2 linked regions of the Stegostoma tigrinum genome follow. The protein of the gene in region 2 purifies or fractionates together with the protein of the main gene of each other region. This does not show direct contact. Links are inferred from orthologs where the notes say so. Each region holds a gene or a part of one and is shown on either strand. Other genes may lie near its edges.

Region 1 (7,123 bases), on a different chromosome or scaffold from region 2:
CCACCACAGACACCTCAACTGCAACATACAGTGGGAGGACGAGATTCTGAGTTTGTAGGAAGGATTTGGCAGGGAGGGCCTTTCTCACATCATACCCAGCCATGCCTTGGTGCTTGTTTTTGTTAGTTCTGGCGGCGAAGTATTCTACCAAATGACTTTGACAGCTTACACATGGAAACCATCTGACAGGATCTGCCATCTCCCTTTGCCACAAGGTCGAGAGGCTGTCAGGTGAAGACCACTTCCTGAATTTTTTTGGTAGAAACTACTCCACGAGGGATAGGTGATACAGCAAAGTCCATCTAGTTTCAGTGTTCTACAACAATGTGGATGGACCCATTCTTTGTAACACCCAGGGGCAGGTAGAACCTGTAAACATTTGTATTTGCATATGAAGGGTGTGTCTCTGTGAGCATAGTCCTTCTTCAACCTCCAGATAAAGTGGAAAATATCTCAGGTGACCACTGTGGTGCAGGAGTGAAGAATGGGCCAGGCCTGCAACATTGAGAGCACAGCAACTGATGACTAGGTTCTTACCTGCAACGGAGAGGGAGCATCATTCCTCTGTACCCATGCTTTGTTTTATAACAGTTACTTGTTCACGTACCCTGGCCCCTCCAAACCATATCCGAGCATCTTCAGGTAATCTGACCCGACAATGAAGAACAAAGGTTTAGTTGGCTCAGTTCCCAAAAAGCGTGGCCTTGCTCTTTGCTCAATTTATCTTGCCTCCTGATTCAAGTTCAAATCGGTCTATTCATCGTCAGTGGAACTGAGCAGAAGATGATGACATTGCCCACCTACAGAAAAGCTCTGACCTCAGTGCCTCCACTACCTGGATGGTCACCCTTCTTATTTTCACATTCTTTTTGATTGACTTGGCAAAAGGGTTCTATCCAACACATAGATCACAGGAAAGAGCACAGCTCTGCATGACTCCAAACCTGTTAGGATTGTTTTCTGATTCCCATCCGTTGATTGAAACTGCATTACTTTTGTACAGGGCATAAACTTTAACACTCTGTGCCAAAACCTTGACCCTCTAAGATGCTATCTTTCTGGTGCAAGCCTTAATCACTTGCCTCAGTGTAATCATGACCAAACTCACAAAAGTCAAAATCAGGACACAATGAAAACTTTGGGAAAGGTTAAAATTGTATGGCCCTAAACTCCACCTCTTCCTCCATTACATTGATGACTGTATCGGCGCCGCCTCGTGCTCCCATGAGGAGCTCAAACAGTTCATCCACTTCGCCAACACCTTCCACCCCAAGTTCACCTGGACTATCTCAAACACATCCCTCACCTTCCTGGACCTCTCTGTCTCCATCTCGGGCAACCACCTAGAAACCGATATCCACTTCAAGCCCACCAACTCCCGCAGCTACCTAGAATACACCTCCTCCCATCCACCTTCCCTCAAAAATGCCATCCCCTATTCCCAATTCCTTCGCCTCTGCCACATCTGTTCCCAGGATAAGGCATTCCACTCCCATAGGTGTTCTAATTTTTCAAGGACCACAACGTCCCCCCGCAGTGGTCAAGGATGCCCTCGACCGCGTCTCCCGCATTTCCTGCAACTTATCCCTCACACCCCGTCCCCATAATAACAACCAAAAGAGAATCCCCCTCGTCCTCACATACCACCCCACCAACCTCCAGATCCAATGCATCATCCTCCGACACTGCCACCATCTGAAATCTGATCCCACCACCAAAGACATTTTTCCCTCCCCACCCTTGTCTGCCTTCTGGAGAGACCACTCTCTCCATGACTCCTTTGTCTCCTCCACACTCCCCTCCAACCCCACCACACCCGGCACTTTCCCCTGCAACCGCAGGGAGTGCTACACCTGCCCCCACACCTCCTCCCTCATCCCCATCCCAGGCCACAAGAAGACTTTCCACATCAAGCAGAAGTCCACTTGCACATCTGCTAATGTGATATACTGAATCCGCTGTACCCATTGTGGCTTCCTCTACATTGGCGAAACCAAGCGGAGGCTTGGGGACTGCTTTGCAGAACGCCTACGCTCGGTTCACAATAAACAGCTGCACCTCGCAGACACGAACCATTTCAACTCCTCTTCAGAAGACATATCCATCCTGGGCCTCCTGCAGTGCCACAACGATACCACCCGAATGTTGCAGGAACAGCAACTCATATTCCGCTTGGGAACCCTGCAACCCAATGGTATCAGCGTGGATTTCACAAGCTTCAAAATCTCCCCGGCCCCCCACCGCATCCCAAAACCAGCCCAGCTTGTCCCCGCCTCCCTAACGTGTTCTTCCTCTCTCCTGTCCCCTCCTCCCACCTCAAGCTGCACCCCCATTCCTTACCTACTAACCTCAACCCGCCCCCTTGACCTGTCTGTCCTCCCCAGACTGACCTATCTCCTCCCTACCTCCCCACCGACACTCACCTCTACAGGCTCCATCCCTGCTCCTTTAACTTGTCTGTCTCCTGTATCCATCTTCAATCGGCCTCCCCTTTCTCTCTATTTATTTCAGAACCCTCTTTCCTCCCCCATTTCTGATGATGGGTCTAGGCCTGAAATGTCAGCTTTCCTGCTCCTAAGATGCTGCTTGGCCTGCTGTGTTCATCCAGCTCCACACGTTGTTACTTTGGGAAAGGGTTGTGTGTAATGATTGACACACTGAATGACCAACAGAAGGAGTGTGGTCAAGCAGTAGTGGAAAGTTGGAGGTCATGAAGTGAAATCTCCCAGAATAGGTCATCCAGAGTTAAGAACTGTTGAGTCACAGCTTGAGTCATTGAGAGGTGATCATGTAATTTAATATCAACCCAATTTTTCTTTCTCTAGAGCAAGAAACCATTTCAGCATAGCTACATATAGCACACTGCATATCATCATATAAATGAGAAGCAGGAGTAGGTCATTCAGATCTCAAGCCAGCTCTGCCAATAAGTAAGATCATAGCTGATGTGACTGTGGTGTCAACCCAACATCCTCAACCATCCCGAAAATCATTAAGTAATGATTGATGACTTCCCAGAAAGCAAAACTGGATATGATACACTTGTTCAACTTGTACTCTTCAAAACAGATAATCAGTGTGTTAATTTCCAAGTTAATAAAATGTGAGGCTGGATGAACACAGCAGGCCAAGCAGCATCTCAGGAGCACAAAAGCTGACGTTTCGGGCCTGGACCCTTCATCAGAGAGGGGGATGGGGAGAGGGAACTGGAATAAATAGGGAGAGAGGGGGAGGCGGACCGAAGATGCTTTTGTGCTCCTGAGATGCTGCTTGGCCTGCTGTGTTCATCCAGCCTCACATTTTATTATCTTGGAATTCTCCGGCATCTGCAGTTCCCATTATCTCTGTTAATTTCCAAGTGTTACTTTTCATTGCTAAGCTGATTTGTTCCTTCTGGGAAATTAGATGGGGACTCGAGGGAAATAAACTTGCCCGGTTATGAGGCTACGGTAGAGGAATGAGACTGAAGTGCTCTGAGACAGTCATCATGGAGCGAATGGCCTCCCCGTACCTTAAGTGACTTCATCATTCCATGGAATGTCCTCTGTTCCAAAAATTAAAGACTGGGACATGAAAGATAAAATCTACTTCATTTATTTGTATGAACTCACACATACACTTTTTTTTGGGGAATGCACTAATTTTATTGCTGGAATATATTTTAAAAATCTCCAAAAGGCCGAGAGAGAGGACACAACAACCTTCCCTCCATCATTGCAGATACAGCAGGGCCAGCCTTTGCAATGAATGAGGAGCTGAAGGCGGAAGGTGGAGAAACCCGGAAGCCCAGGCGGAAGTGATGCTTAATCATGTGCCAATGATGTGGCCGCCCGAAGGAAAACTCTCCGCCGACCGAAAAAAGTCCCATTTCCGCCCACCCCCGCTTCCCAGTTTTCGCCGTCAAATCTGAAGGGGGGCGGTACCCGAAAGACCAAGTTTTACTCGTATATGGTTGCAATGAGCGAAGGGGTGGACGGGCGTGTGGGGGTTGTCTGTTGTTTTTTTTAGTTACACAGCGGGTGGGCTTGCCGAAGTGACCCCACCCCCCCTCACCTCGCTTTGATCTGACGGTCTGGGTGGAGGGGCGTGTCACCGGGTGCAGGGGTAGCGCTCCGCCGTTTCCGGTTTTCCGCCATTGCGGCTCCCGCTGCGGCTCCGTGGGGGCCCCGTTGACGGTTTATAAAAGGGGAGGCGGGCGGCAGGAAGGGCAGCAGCTTCAGGTGAGTCTCTGAGAGGGCGTCTCCTCCCTTCACGGTGATAACGGGCTTTCCCCCTGACCCCCTTCCGTCTGAGGGAGGGGTTTTTGGAACATTTCCCTCTTGGCTGATGTCATTCGATGTAGAAATAATATTTTTTTGTATTTATTATTTCTCCCCCCACACAGATCCGCACTTACTCGCCTCTCTCTCTCTCTCTTCCCTGGCTGGTTTTTTATTCTCTCGCCGGAGGATCTCGGTGTGTTTTTTCTTTCCTTTTGGACCCGCTGAGCGCCAGCGTCGTCTGTCGACATGGCTCAGATCCTGCCCATCCGCTTCCAGGAGCACCTGCAGGTAACTCGCTCAATCAGTCCGTCAGTAAACGATGACTTTTTTTCTCTTTTTTAACTTAACTTTAAACAAAAAATTTTAACACCCCCCCCCCCCCCCGCCCCTGCATCTCCTGACCTCTACACCTTCTCTCTTCTTCCCCCCCCCCCCCCCCCCCGTAACATGGGCCTTCGCTTCAGACCGAGCCCTGGGTAAATGTCATCCCCACCCGCATACAGCGCTCCCGTCTCTAATCTTCGACCCCACCTCCCTCCCGCCTGTAGATTATTCCTAATCCCCCCCCCGGATTTGCTTCTCTCTATATATCTCTCGTTTTGCAAACCTACCCCCCCCCCCAATTTCGCCGTAATTTTTCACTTTGAAATATTATCGGTGGGGGTGGAGGTTCAACCTTGGATTACACCGTGGCACCGTTTCACAATGTCGCCCGTATGAGGAAATGTGTGAATGCTTGCACGGTTTATAAAAAAATCTTGTCTTCTTTAACCCCACCCCTAGTTTAAAGCTCTACCTTACTGCAGGCCTCGAATGCTGATGGTGCCCATCTCATTTAGTTTTTTAATAAATTGGAGTGAGTTCAGGCTATGAATGATTTTTTTTGCCAAATGGAGCCTAGTGCAGATGTTTCTAATGGTAACAGTACCAGGCTTCCACCCCACCAATGTTTGCCTGTCTTTTAATCTGAGGTGGAAGTGGGACAATTGCTTAATGACCCTTCAGTGTTTTAAACTGAAATTTGAGTTCTTGTACTGTAAATAACTTGTTTTATATGTGCAACCCATGACCATGTTCTCAGCTAGCAGTGAGACAGTTGAACTTTTTTCAACCAGTTGTAACTTTGCTTGTAATTTTTAATGTTGAGTTATGCTTCCAAAATGGGCTTGATAGTGGCTCAACTCATCAATTAAGATATGATCATTTTAAACGTTTGGTTTGTTTGTACTTAGTGGTGTCTTTAGCTGTAGATATGTTGGATTCTTGAATAGAATTGTTTGTATTTATCTTTAATTCCTATGTAGTGTTTCTCAACTTTGTTTCATAGTTTGTGTATTTTTCACACTTGGTATCTAAATACAGTTGAAGATGTTAGAATGCATTGGTTTTCCAGTAACTTAACAGGTATTAAATTGGGCAACTAAACAGTGGGTTCTTCAGTTGCTAACTTACCCTAAGTATCACTCTTTATAAATTAGCCTGTTTAAAGTTACATTCCAACTGACTTACTAGTGGCATTTTTAACAAATTTAACTGGGTGTTACTTGAGCTGGTGACATAGGAGCATGGAATGTGAAAAAGCAAGGCTTTCAATAACTATCAATGCCCTGCCAGGGAAAATTGAGTTTATCTTGCTCTCCCTTAAAATTGACATCATATTCAGTTTGATCTGAAAGTTGACTGACAGTGTTTAAACTGTCACTTGCCTCTTACAGTTTATAAACAGGTGAGTGGGCAAGCAGGAGACTGTGTAAATCTGTAATAAAGCACTTTTGTGTAGATGTGTCAATCTGCTTTCTCCTTGGAGGTGCTAAATAACCAGCTGCCCATACCGCTAAAACATGGGTCTGATTTGTAACTAGTCACGTGTTTAGAACTTGCCATTCTAAGCTATGGGGTGTTGTTTCTATGGGAAACTAGTTTAATTTGGTTAAACTAAATTTGTAGTGATGCTTCATACCATTGCTCCATGTTGAAACATGGAGCAAGAAATAGGTAACTATGAAGGTGTACAGTACAGCTGGATGAACACACCAAACCGAGCAGGAAAGCTGACGTTTCAGCTCAAGTCTTCAGGGGGGATTTCTGATCAAGGGTCTAGGCCCGAAACATCAGCTCTCCTGATGCTTGGCCTGCTCTGTTCATCCAGCTCTAAACCTTGTTATCTCAGATTCTCCAGTATTGGCAGTTCCTACTATCAAGTCAACTATGAAGTTCTTTGCTAAGAACATCACTTCGGAGGATCAGACTTCTACCCTGGAGTGTCTACGCATGCATCCCATGATACTTTAACTTTAGTTTACTAAGTACTGATAACTAAATTTCAAAAATACACAAGCTTACTCAATTCAGACTTGCACAATGAGGTCCAAAGGGCTGCTGCTAGGAAGTGATTAGAGAATTTGATCTAGATGCAAAATCCATGCAGTTATTTAACAAATAGGTTTTAGCCATCATGTAATAGCCTAAACCTCCTGTAAGTTGGTTGATGCAGTATTGATCAACCAATACTGCATTCAGTGAGTGATAGCACTTATATTTGCATACTGTTTGATACTGTATAATGTCCCTTCTGACCCTGATCCCTTGCATTCTAACTGCAGTCAATGAAAATCTTAAATTAAGTTACTTTTGACCTCCCTCCTTTCTAATTTAAATTAGAATATTTCCAACATGGAGACTCTAGCCTTTTTAACAGCAGACAGCAAATTACTGTTTGAGACTGACTCCTTAGCAGGAGAGGGCTTGCAAGGGTATCGAATGCCCTTGTATGATATTCAGTCTTAAACTGTTTCCAATGTTCAAAGAATACTGCAACAGGTAGTGATCACTTTTTCAACTGATCAAGTTGTGGATTGCAA
Region 2 (7,904 bases):
AGACTGAGGGATGATCTTACGTAGAGGTCTATAAAATCAGGAGAGGCATAGATAAGGTAAATGACCAACAGCCTTTCACCATGGTAGGGAAATCCAAAACTAGAAGGCATATGTTTAAGGTGAGAGTGGAGAGATACAAAAGGATCCAGAGGGGCAATGTTTCGTACAGAATGTAGTGAGTGTCTGTATCAGGCCACCAGAGGTGATGGTGAAAGCAATTACAGTTTTGTCATTTAAGAAACATTTAGACATGTACATGGATGGGATGGGTAAAGAGGGATACGGGCCAAATGCAGGCAAAAGGGTCTAGTTTAGTTATGAAAACTGGGTGGCGTGGGCAAGTTGGGCTGAAGGGCCTGCTTCCATGCTGTACGCTCTGATGACCCTATGACTCTATTTTGAAGAAGAGTAAGGGACTTATCTCTGGTGTTTTGGGCAATATTTATTCATCAATGCACATTGCAACATTAGATTATCTGGTAAGTATCACCTTGCTGTTTGTGGGAGTTCGCCGTGTGCAAATTGGCAGGTATATTTTCTACATTACAGTAGTGACCATATTTCAACAATTCCTGTGAAGAGCGCTATATAAATGCAATAAAAACAGAAAGTGCTGTAGGACTTAACGGGTCAGGTAGCATCTGTTGAAGAAGCATCACAATCCAAAGAAGATTCGTCTTGGACTCAAAATATTAACTCTGTTTTTCTCTCCGCAGATGCTGCCTGACAGTTCTGCAGCATTTCTGTCTAAATTTCAAATTCCCAGCATCGGCAGTAGTTTGATTTTATACAAATGCATTTAGCTTCTCTGCCTTTGGCGAAGTTATCTGTGATGAAACATTACTCTGTAGCTCTAGCTGCCAGACAGGAGGGTGTAAAAGATCCCAGAGTACAAACTTGATGAAGATCAGTAAAGTTATCACTCATATAAAAACATTGCTGGGAAACTCAGCAGGTTTGGCAGCTTCTGTGCAGAGGCAAACAAAGTTAACATTTCAAGTATGACTCTTGCCTCTTCTTCAGACCCAGGTGTCTTGTCAATGTTTACACATCTCTCAATCAATATCACAAAACACAGGCTATCTTGTCATGTTCAGAGTGCTGTTTGTGAAAGTTTGACCCACACAGGTCATTTGCCATTTTTCCCACAATTTCTACAACAGTGAAATTGGTTCAGAAGTATTGATTTGGCTGTAAAGCTCTTTGATACTTTCTGTGGGTGGGTGTAAAAAGCATTACATAAAAGCAAACATTTTTGAGTTCTATCCCTTTGAAGCTTTTTGTTGACCATTTTTGCCATTTGTGTAAGTTATGAAGATGTTAGGGATGTTCTATTTGTGAAAGCCAGTTGAAGCAAGATAGAACTGGCACCAATGTTCACACACTATTATATTTATTTACAGATTTATACAGAATGAGCATACAACACACTGCTTTTCATCATTTATACAAATAGGAGGCATGGTTAGTTAAGTTTGCAGATGACACCAAAATAACTGGTGTAGTGGACAACGAAGAAGATTATCTCGGAGCACACTGGAACTTTGTTCTGATGGGCTGATGCGCAGAGGAGTGGCAGATGGAGTTTAATTTAAACTCGAGTGTTGCAATTTGGTAAGCCAAAGCAGGACAGGACTTGTACATTAATGTTAGGGCTCTGGGGAGGGTTGCTGAACAAAGAGACCTAGGGCATGCAGGTGCATAGTTCCTTGAAAGTGGGTGGATAGGGATGGTGAAGAAGGCATTTGGCACACTTGCCTTCAGTTGTCAGAGCACTGAGTATAGGATTCGGGACATCATGTTGCAGCAGGTCAAGTCATTGGTGAGACCACTTTTTAGAATACTGTGTGCAGTTCAGGTCACCCTACTGTAGGAAAGATGTTATTAAACTTGAGTGCAGAAAAGATTTACAAGAATGTTGCTGGCTCTGGGGAGTTTGAGCTATAGGGAGAGGCTGAATATGCTGGGGCTTTTAACCCTGGAGTTTCGGAGGGTGAGGGTGACCTTATAGAGGTTTATAAAATCATGAGCGGCATGATTACAGTGAATAGCCAAGTCTTTTTCCCAGGGTGGGAGAGCCCAAAAGGAGAGGGCATAGGTTTAAGATGAGAGGGAAAAGATTTAAAAGGGATCTAAAGAACAATTTTTTCATGCAGAGGGTGGTGCGTACATGACACAAGCTGCCAGAGGAGGTGGTGGAGGCTGTTGCAGGTACAAGATTTAAAAGGCATTTGGATGGAATGAATTGGAAGGGTTTGGCAGGATAGGGGACAAATGTTGGCAAACAGGACTAGGTCAGAGTGGGATGTCTGGTTGGCATGGATGAATTGGACTAAAGACTCTATTTCTGTGCTGTATATCTCTATGACTTCCAATGAAAATCATGCAGCATTAGTCTGTATCCATACAGATTCAATTCCTGTCAGAGTTAATGCCCATCATCTGAACACAATTAACACACAATTAATCAGAAAGATACTTCTGAGTCTATTGCGCAAAGAATTAAAAAAAATCATAGTTCCACCTGAAATGAGATCTCACACTAATTCTATTGTACAGCTGCTAACACACATCCTGCCTCACATGAACGACGATTAATCATGGAGGGTCTGATATTGCCAAGTTATTTCCAGATGACGATGCAAAATTCAACTAAGCATAAGTGCCACTGTGAATGTGGTAAAACATTGCAGTAACCTGCTGTAAAATCCAGTATATGAGATACAGGTTAATTTCATCTGATATTTATCGTCTGGGCTTTACAGCAGAGAAACAAACACTGGTAAAAATGACATATAAAAATACTGTTTCAGAGACAGAAGGAACTGCATATGCTGGAGAATCAAGAAGGGTCTCTCTGAAGAAGGGTCTCAGCCCGAAACATCAGCTTTCCTGCTTCTCTGATGCTGCTTGGCCTGCTGTGTTCATTCAGCTCTACATCTTGTGATCTCTGTGTAAAAATGCAGCATGGACAAAACTATTCCCTCCTGGTGAGTTCTCATCCTTCATGGAGTTAAACAAGAATTACACTTCATGGTGAGAATGGTGGTTTAGTCTGCACCTGGGGTGGAATTTGGGCAGTGTGAGGTGGGTGGGAGCTATAAATGGAACAATAACCTGACTCAGAACTACCCAGTAATGACAGCACTGAAATAGATCATTTGATCCAATTGGGTTGTGCCATTGTTTCAACTTCAAATAAGCCTCATCCTGCCCTGCTTCATCTTCCCCATCAGAGAGTCATTGCATTCATTTCTGTTTGAGCAGCATATCCCGCTGCCCCTTCGGGGCCTGCTCCAATAGTATGATTTCAGCCTTGGTAACCAGATTTTAAATTTAATTAATTTGTAAGTCTTTATTGAAATTGTTAATAACAAACATGAAGCTACTGTTTCGCTATATTAAAATCAAATTCTATTGAAGAGTCATCTAGATTCAAAACATTTTCTCTCCATGAATGCTGTCTGATCTGCTGTGATCTCCAGCACTTGTTTTCTGTTAAAAGGAAATATGCTATTTTTCCAGAGGAGGGTATATCTGCTGTCTTAACCTGACATGGCCTAGCCTACAGACCCACAGTACTGTGCCTGATTAATCTGCCCTCTGAAATGAATTCGTAAGCTACCAAAATAAAACAAAAAAACTGTGGATGCTGGAAATCTGGAACAAAACAGGAAATGATTGGAAAAAAACTCAGGCCTGGCAACATCTGCAGAGAGAAGGTAGAGTTCACACGTTGAGTCCAAGCTGCTGACGCTGCCAGACTTGCTGAGTTTCTCAAATAATTTCTGTTTTTGTAGCAATCTAATAAGTTGCACAAAACTGCTACAGAAAAACAGCACAAGTGGTGCACCTCTGCAATGGTTCAGGAAAGTGGTGGTCAGAAACAATTGGGAATTGTCAATAAATATTGGCCTTGTTAGTGACTCTCATCTCAAAAAACAATTTCATAAAACCCTGAGTTAATTGCTTCCTTTCGGCTCTGCATGCTCTGGATAAAGTCATTTCTTTTTAATTATCTACTGGAGTGGCGATGATCTTATATTTAGGATCTCAATTTATGTCTCCGCCACATCTTCTCCATGTAATCTTTATCAAATTTCGTTTTAAGGCAGTCCGCGGAGACGGCGGATGAAGGTTTAAACCACTTCAGCAATGTCAGTTCTCAGTATCACATCAAAGCGTTAACTAATCTTCCGAATGGACCTGTGACCTCACCCAAACACTGAATCACCAGGGAAGGAAAATAAACTAAAAACAAAGAACCGCGGATGGTGAGGAGCTGAAACAAACAAAAACAGAGAATCCCAAGATCTCTGACCGAAAACGGAGAATGCTGGGGAAACTCAGCAGGTCTGGAAGCGTCTGTGGAGAGAGAAAAAGTTAACATTTCGAGTCCAGTGACCTTTCTTCAGACCTGCTGAGTCTGTCCAGCAATTTCTGGCTTTGTTTTTAAAAACCCTACCACGCTTTAAAGGTGAAGTAAACAAAACTATTCCGTGTGTCCACTAAGATCAACGAACGGCGTGATATTTTATCATTTATCACTGCAAGCGGACATAAGTCCACACCTTCTGCCGAGCAATTCCGTAAAAATTAAAATCGACACCTCATGATAACTGTAACAATCTTTTGTCGTTGAATGTAAATATGATCTAAGTTGAGATTGTTGTGTTTCGTTCGAATGCCGTTCAACGGCTGGTCTTCAACCGAAAACAAAGCGATGAAGTGTGCTGCTCCCTTTGTGTGTGTTTGGCGGGGGGGGGTGGTGGTGTTTGTGAGAGGAATGTGGGGTGGGGGTGGTGTTTGAACACTGGAGAACTTGTCACTTTCTTCCCCGGGTCCTCCCCTTGAAGTATCTTTTGCGTTGACGTCAAAGTGTTCACGTGATGCGGTTTGTTACATCGCTCTGTGCTTGGACACATCAGGAACTGCACCGTCCGCTTAAGCTGATTATTCTCGGGTTCTCCTGCTCAGAAAATGCCTTCTGACAAGTCATTCAAACAGAGAAGAAGCTTCGGTAGGTGGTCGAGCAGCGCGGGGAGCAAAGAGGAGGCCGACCGAGAGAGAAGGGGGAGAAATATACCACTTGGGGAAGAGTGTGACTTGTGTATGTGTGTCCCTGTCTCTCCTCCTCCACGCAGCACCACCCTCCCCCCTTTCTCTGCGGGACTGTTGCTGTTTTTCTTTTTCTCTCCAATTTGCCTTTGACCTTCTCTCAGCTGACTGGGGTGGGGGCGGAGGGGATATACCGGTGTGGATTCTTTTAAACAGCTGCGAGAAGGACACAGGCAGATCAGTGAGAGCGAGAAGGGGGAGGGGGTAGCGAGAGGAGAGATAGAAAATAGGGATCGGTTGCAGGCAGCAAGGATGGAAACGTCGCCAGTAGTTTAACAAAGGGAAAGCGCGCTGGAGATCGGGGTGGCCTGAGGACAATGCGTGCACGCACCCTAATCCTCAGAATCTTTGTACTTAAAAGATGTTTTTTTTTGTTGGTGTTGAAGTGAATTTCAATTATTTCCTCACTTTTTCTCAATGTCAGAAATGAATCTGCCTAATATTTGTGAATCATTGATCGATATGTCGTTTTTGTAACAGTGTCTGAAGCTATCCTTATGATAATTCGTGGGATAGGGCTTCCTGAAGGACGTGAAGGTTTATTGTTGTTCTGTTCATATTTTGGAAGCCATTTTTACAGGAAAATCGCCCCTTTTTAAACCCTGTTTTGGTAACAATGGAAATTCATCTCCTGCCTCCAACTTTACAGATCTTTACGTTTTGAATTGTTGGTTAGAAAACGAGTTAGAACATTTTGACATTCTGTTTTGAGTTTGGATAATCTGGTCGTTTTATGTTTAACAATAGATTCTTTTAAAAAGAAACGAAATGATTTGTCATTGAGTACTGCAATAAACGTTGGGGGTTTTAAAATATTCAATCGTTAAATTTTGGCCCAGATATTTTTACAACTCTACAATAAACTCCGAGGATAACTCGTTCTGTGTTTGGCGAAAAGAAAGGCAGAAATCATTATGTTCAGTTACATGTTTGGCGCTGACAAGATTTTTTTTTCTATTATCTGTTTAATGGCTGAGTCACTAATTCAATTACCATTAAAGAAAAATGACAGTTTAGGTTAAGAGTGTGACAAATGGTGAATATGCAATAGGTTATAATGTATTTATTAGTTAAAATAATAAGAGCTAATTAGGGTTCCCTCAGAGACTCAGATTTCAATGTGTTTTCTTCATTTGCAATGTGCCAACTTTGAGGGAATAAAATGTTCTGGCTTTCCCACACTAATATTGCAGATATTGGAGATAATTGAAACCATCATTATTTTATGACAGTTACTGAGTTGAGGCCTAGTTTGAGATGGGTTATCACCAGGGCAGTTGAACCCTATTTGTTTCTCTAAGGTGATTTCAGATTTCACAAAAATCTGTAATTTCCTTCTTTTTAGGTAAAACAAGACTTAGTGGAATGGCTATATGTAAATTAACATCTTTTTTCTGACCAGTATCACTATGTTGTAGTTTTCAATACTGCATTTTTTCTCTCCTTCAACATGAGTGTATACGTATTGCTCCTACCTATAAAATCTAGATGCTCCATAACATTGACCAGAAATATTGCAGAAAAACACAATGATCTAATAAATCAATTAGGAGACACTTAAGTGTTACTACATTTTATCAAACTCACTTAAGAAACTACAACTTTCTTAATGTCTTAAGACGTGGCCTTGTTAATTAACTTGGAAGCTGCAATCATCTTTGCCAAAACTGAAAGTCTTGTTGGGCTCTTATTGTTCACCACCATATTCTGTTGATTTCCCTGGCTTCAGTTTTTCTGAATGAAGATCTGGAGGTTACTGGACCCTTGAAGGACTTTCCTTCCTTCACCTTGCTTTCAAATGCATTGACTATACTGTTTTGGAGTAACACTGCACCTGGTCTAGGGAGATATTGGTGCATAGCTAATGTTAACTCATGATGCAGAAGCTGTATACAGTACTGTGTTGTGCACCCTTTCTGCAGATCCACCTTTCTCCCCCATTTGAATTGATCTTGGACAGCCTTGTCTTCATTCACGGGAGGTGGGCATCAAGCATTTCTTGCCCATCCCGAATTGCTCTGGACTGACATTTCAGAGGATAGTAAAGAGTCAATACTGTTGTGGGTCTTTAGTTCATAGAATCCCTGCAGTGTAGGAACAGGCCATTCAGCCCAACAAGTCCACGCTGACCCTCGGAACATTCCGCCCAGACCCATCCCCCTAATCTACACATCCCTGAGCACTATGGGCGACTTAGTATGGCCAATCCACATAGCCTGCACATCTTTGAACTGTGGGAGAAAACCCACACAGACACGGGGAGAATGTGCAAACTGCACACAGTCGCCCAAATGTGGAATCAAACCAGGGTTTCTGCTGCTGTGAGGCTGCAGTGCTAACCACTGAGCCACCGTGGTTTGGAGACCAAGTGTGCCAGACCAGGTAACAATGGCAGATTTTCTTCCCCTAAACAGCATGATGAAATAGATGGGGTTTTTTCACAGAAAACTGACAGTGCCTTCATGGTCAGCATTAAGATAACTTCCAGATTTTTGTTGAATTCTAAGTTCACCAACTGCTGTGGTCAGTTAGAGCATGGGGTTCTAGATGATCAGACCAGTAACAACAACACATCGCCACTATCTCCCCATAATGATGTGTTTGACCAAAGGAGACCCCCAACCTCACCCAGTGCCTGGAAAGTCTAACAATGTCTAACCCTTATCCAATACAGTGACCTTGCTGGACTACCCACTTTACCTTTCTCCAGGAAAGGACGTTGGTCCACTCAACTAGTTCTAGAGAATTCTACTGAGCTCATTCAATACCCTGATTCAGTCAAGTCA

What was found. Proteins that work in one complex are often made in the same cells at the same time.
Region 1: the proteins of microtubule-associated proteins 1A/1B light chain 3A (region 2) and cltcb purify together in Homo sapiens (affinity purification with mass spectrometry; 3 studies listed by BioGRID and IntAct, with this or other methods). This does not show direct contact. The link is inferred for Stegostoma tigrinum from reciprocal best matches to the Homo sapiens genes MAP1LC3A and CLTC.

The regions. Positions count from the first base shown.
Region 1 is NC_081380.1:42,416,129-42,423,251, forward strand, and holds the start of cltcb (clathrin, heavy chain b (Hc)), read left to right. Parts: upstream 1-4,083; 5' UTR 4,084-4,220; intron 4,221-4,384; 5' UTR 4,385-4,508; coding exon 4,509-4,550; intron 4,551-7,123. UniProt on the Homo sapiens protein: Clathrin is the major protein of the polyhedral coat of coated pits and vesicles. Two different adapter protein complexes link the clathrin lattice either to the plasma membrane or to the trans-Golgi network.
Region 2 is NC_081372.1:12,785,777-12,793,680, forward strand, and holds the start of microtubule-associated proteins 1A/1B light chain 3A, read left to right. Parts: upstream 1-4,876; 5' UTR 4,877-4,980; coding exon 4,981-5,020; intron 5,021-7,904. UniProt on the Homo sapiens protein: Ubiquitin-like modifier involved in formation of autophagosomal vacuoles (autophagosomes). While LC3s are involved in elongation of the phagophore membrane, the GABARAP/GATE-16 subfamily is essential for a later stage in autophagosome maturation.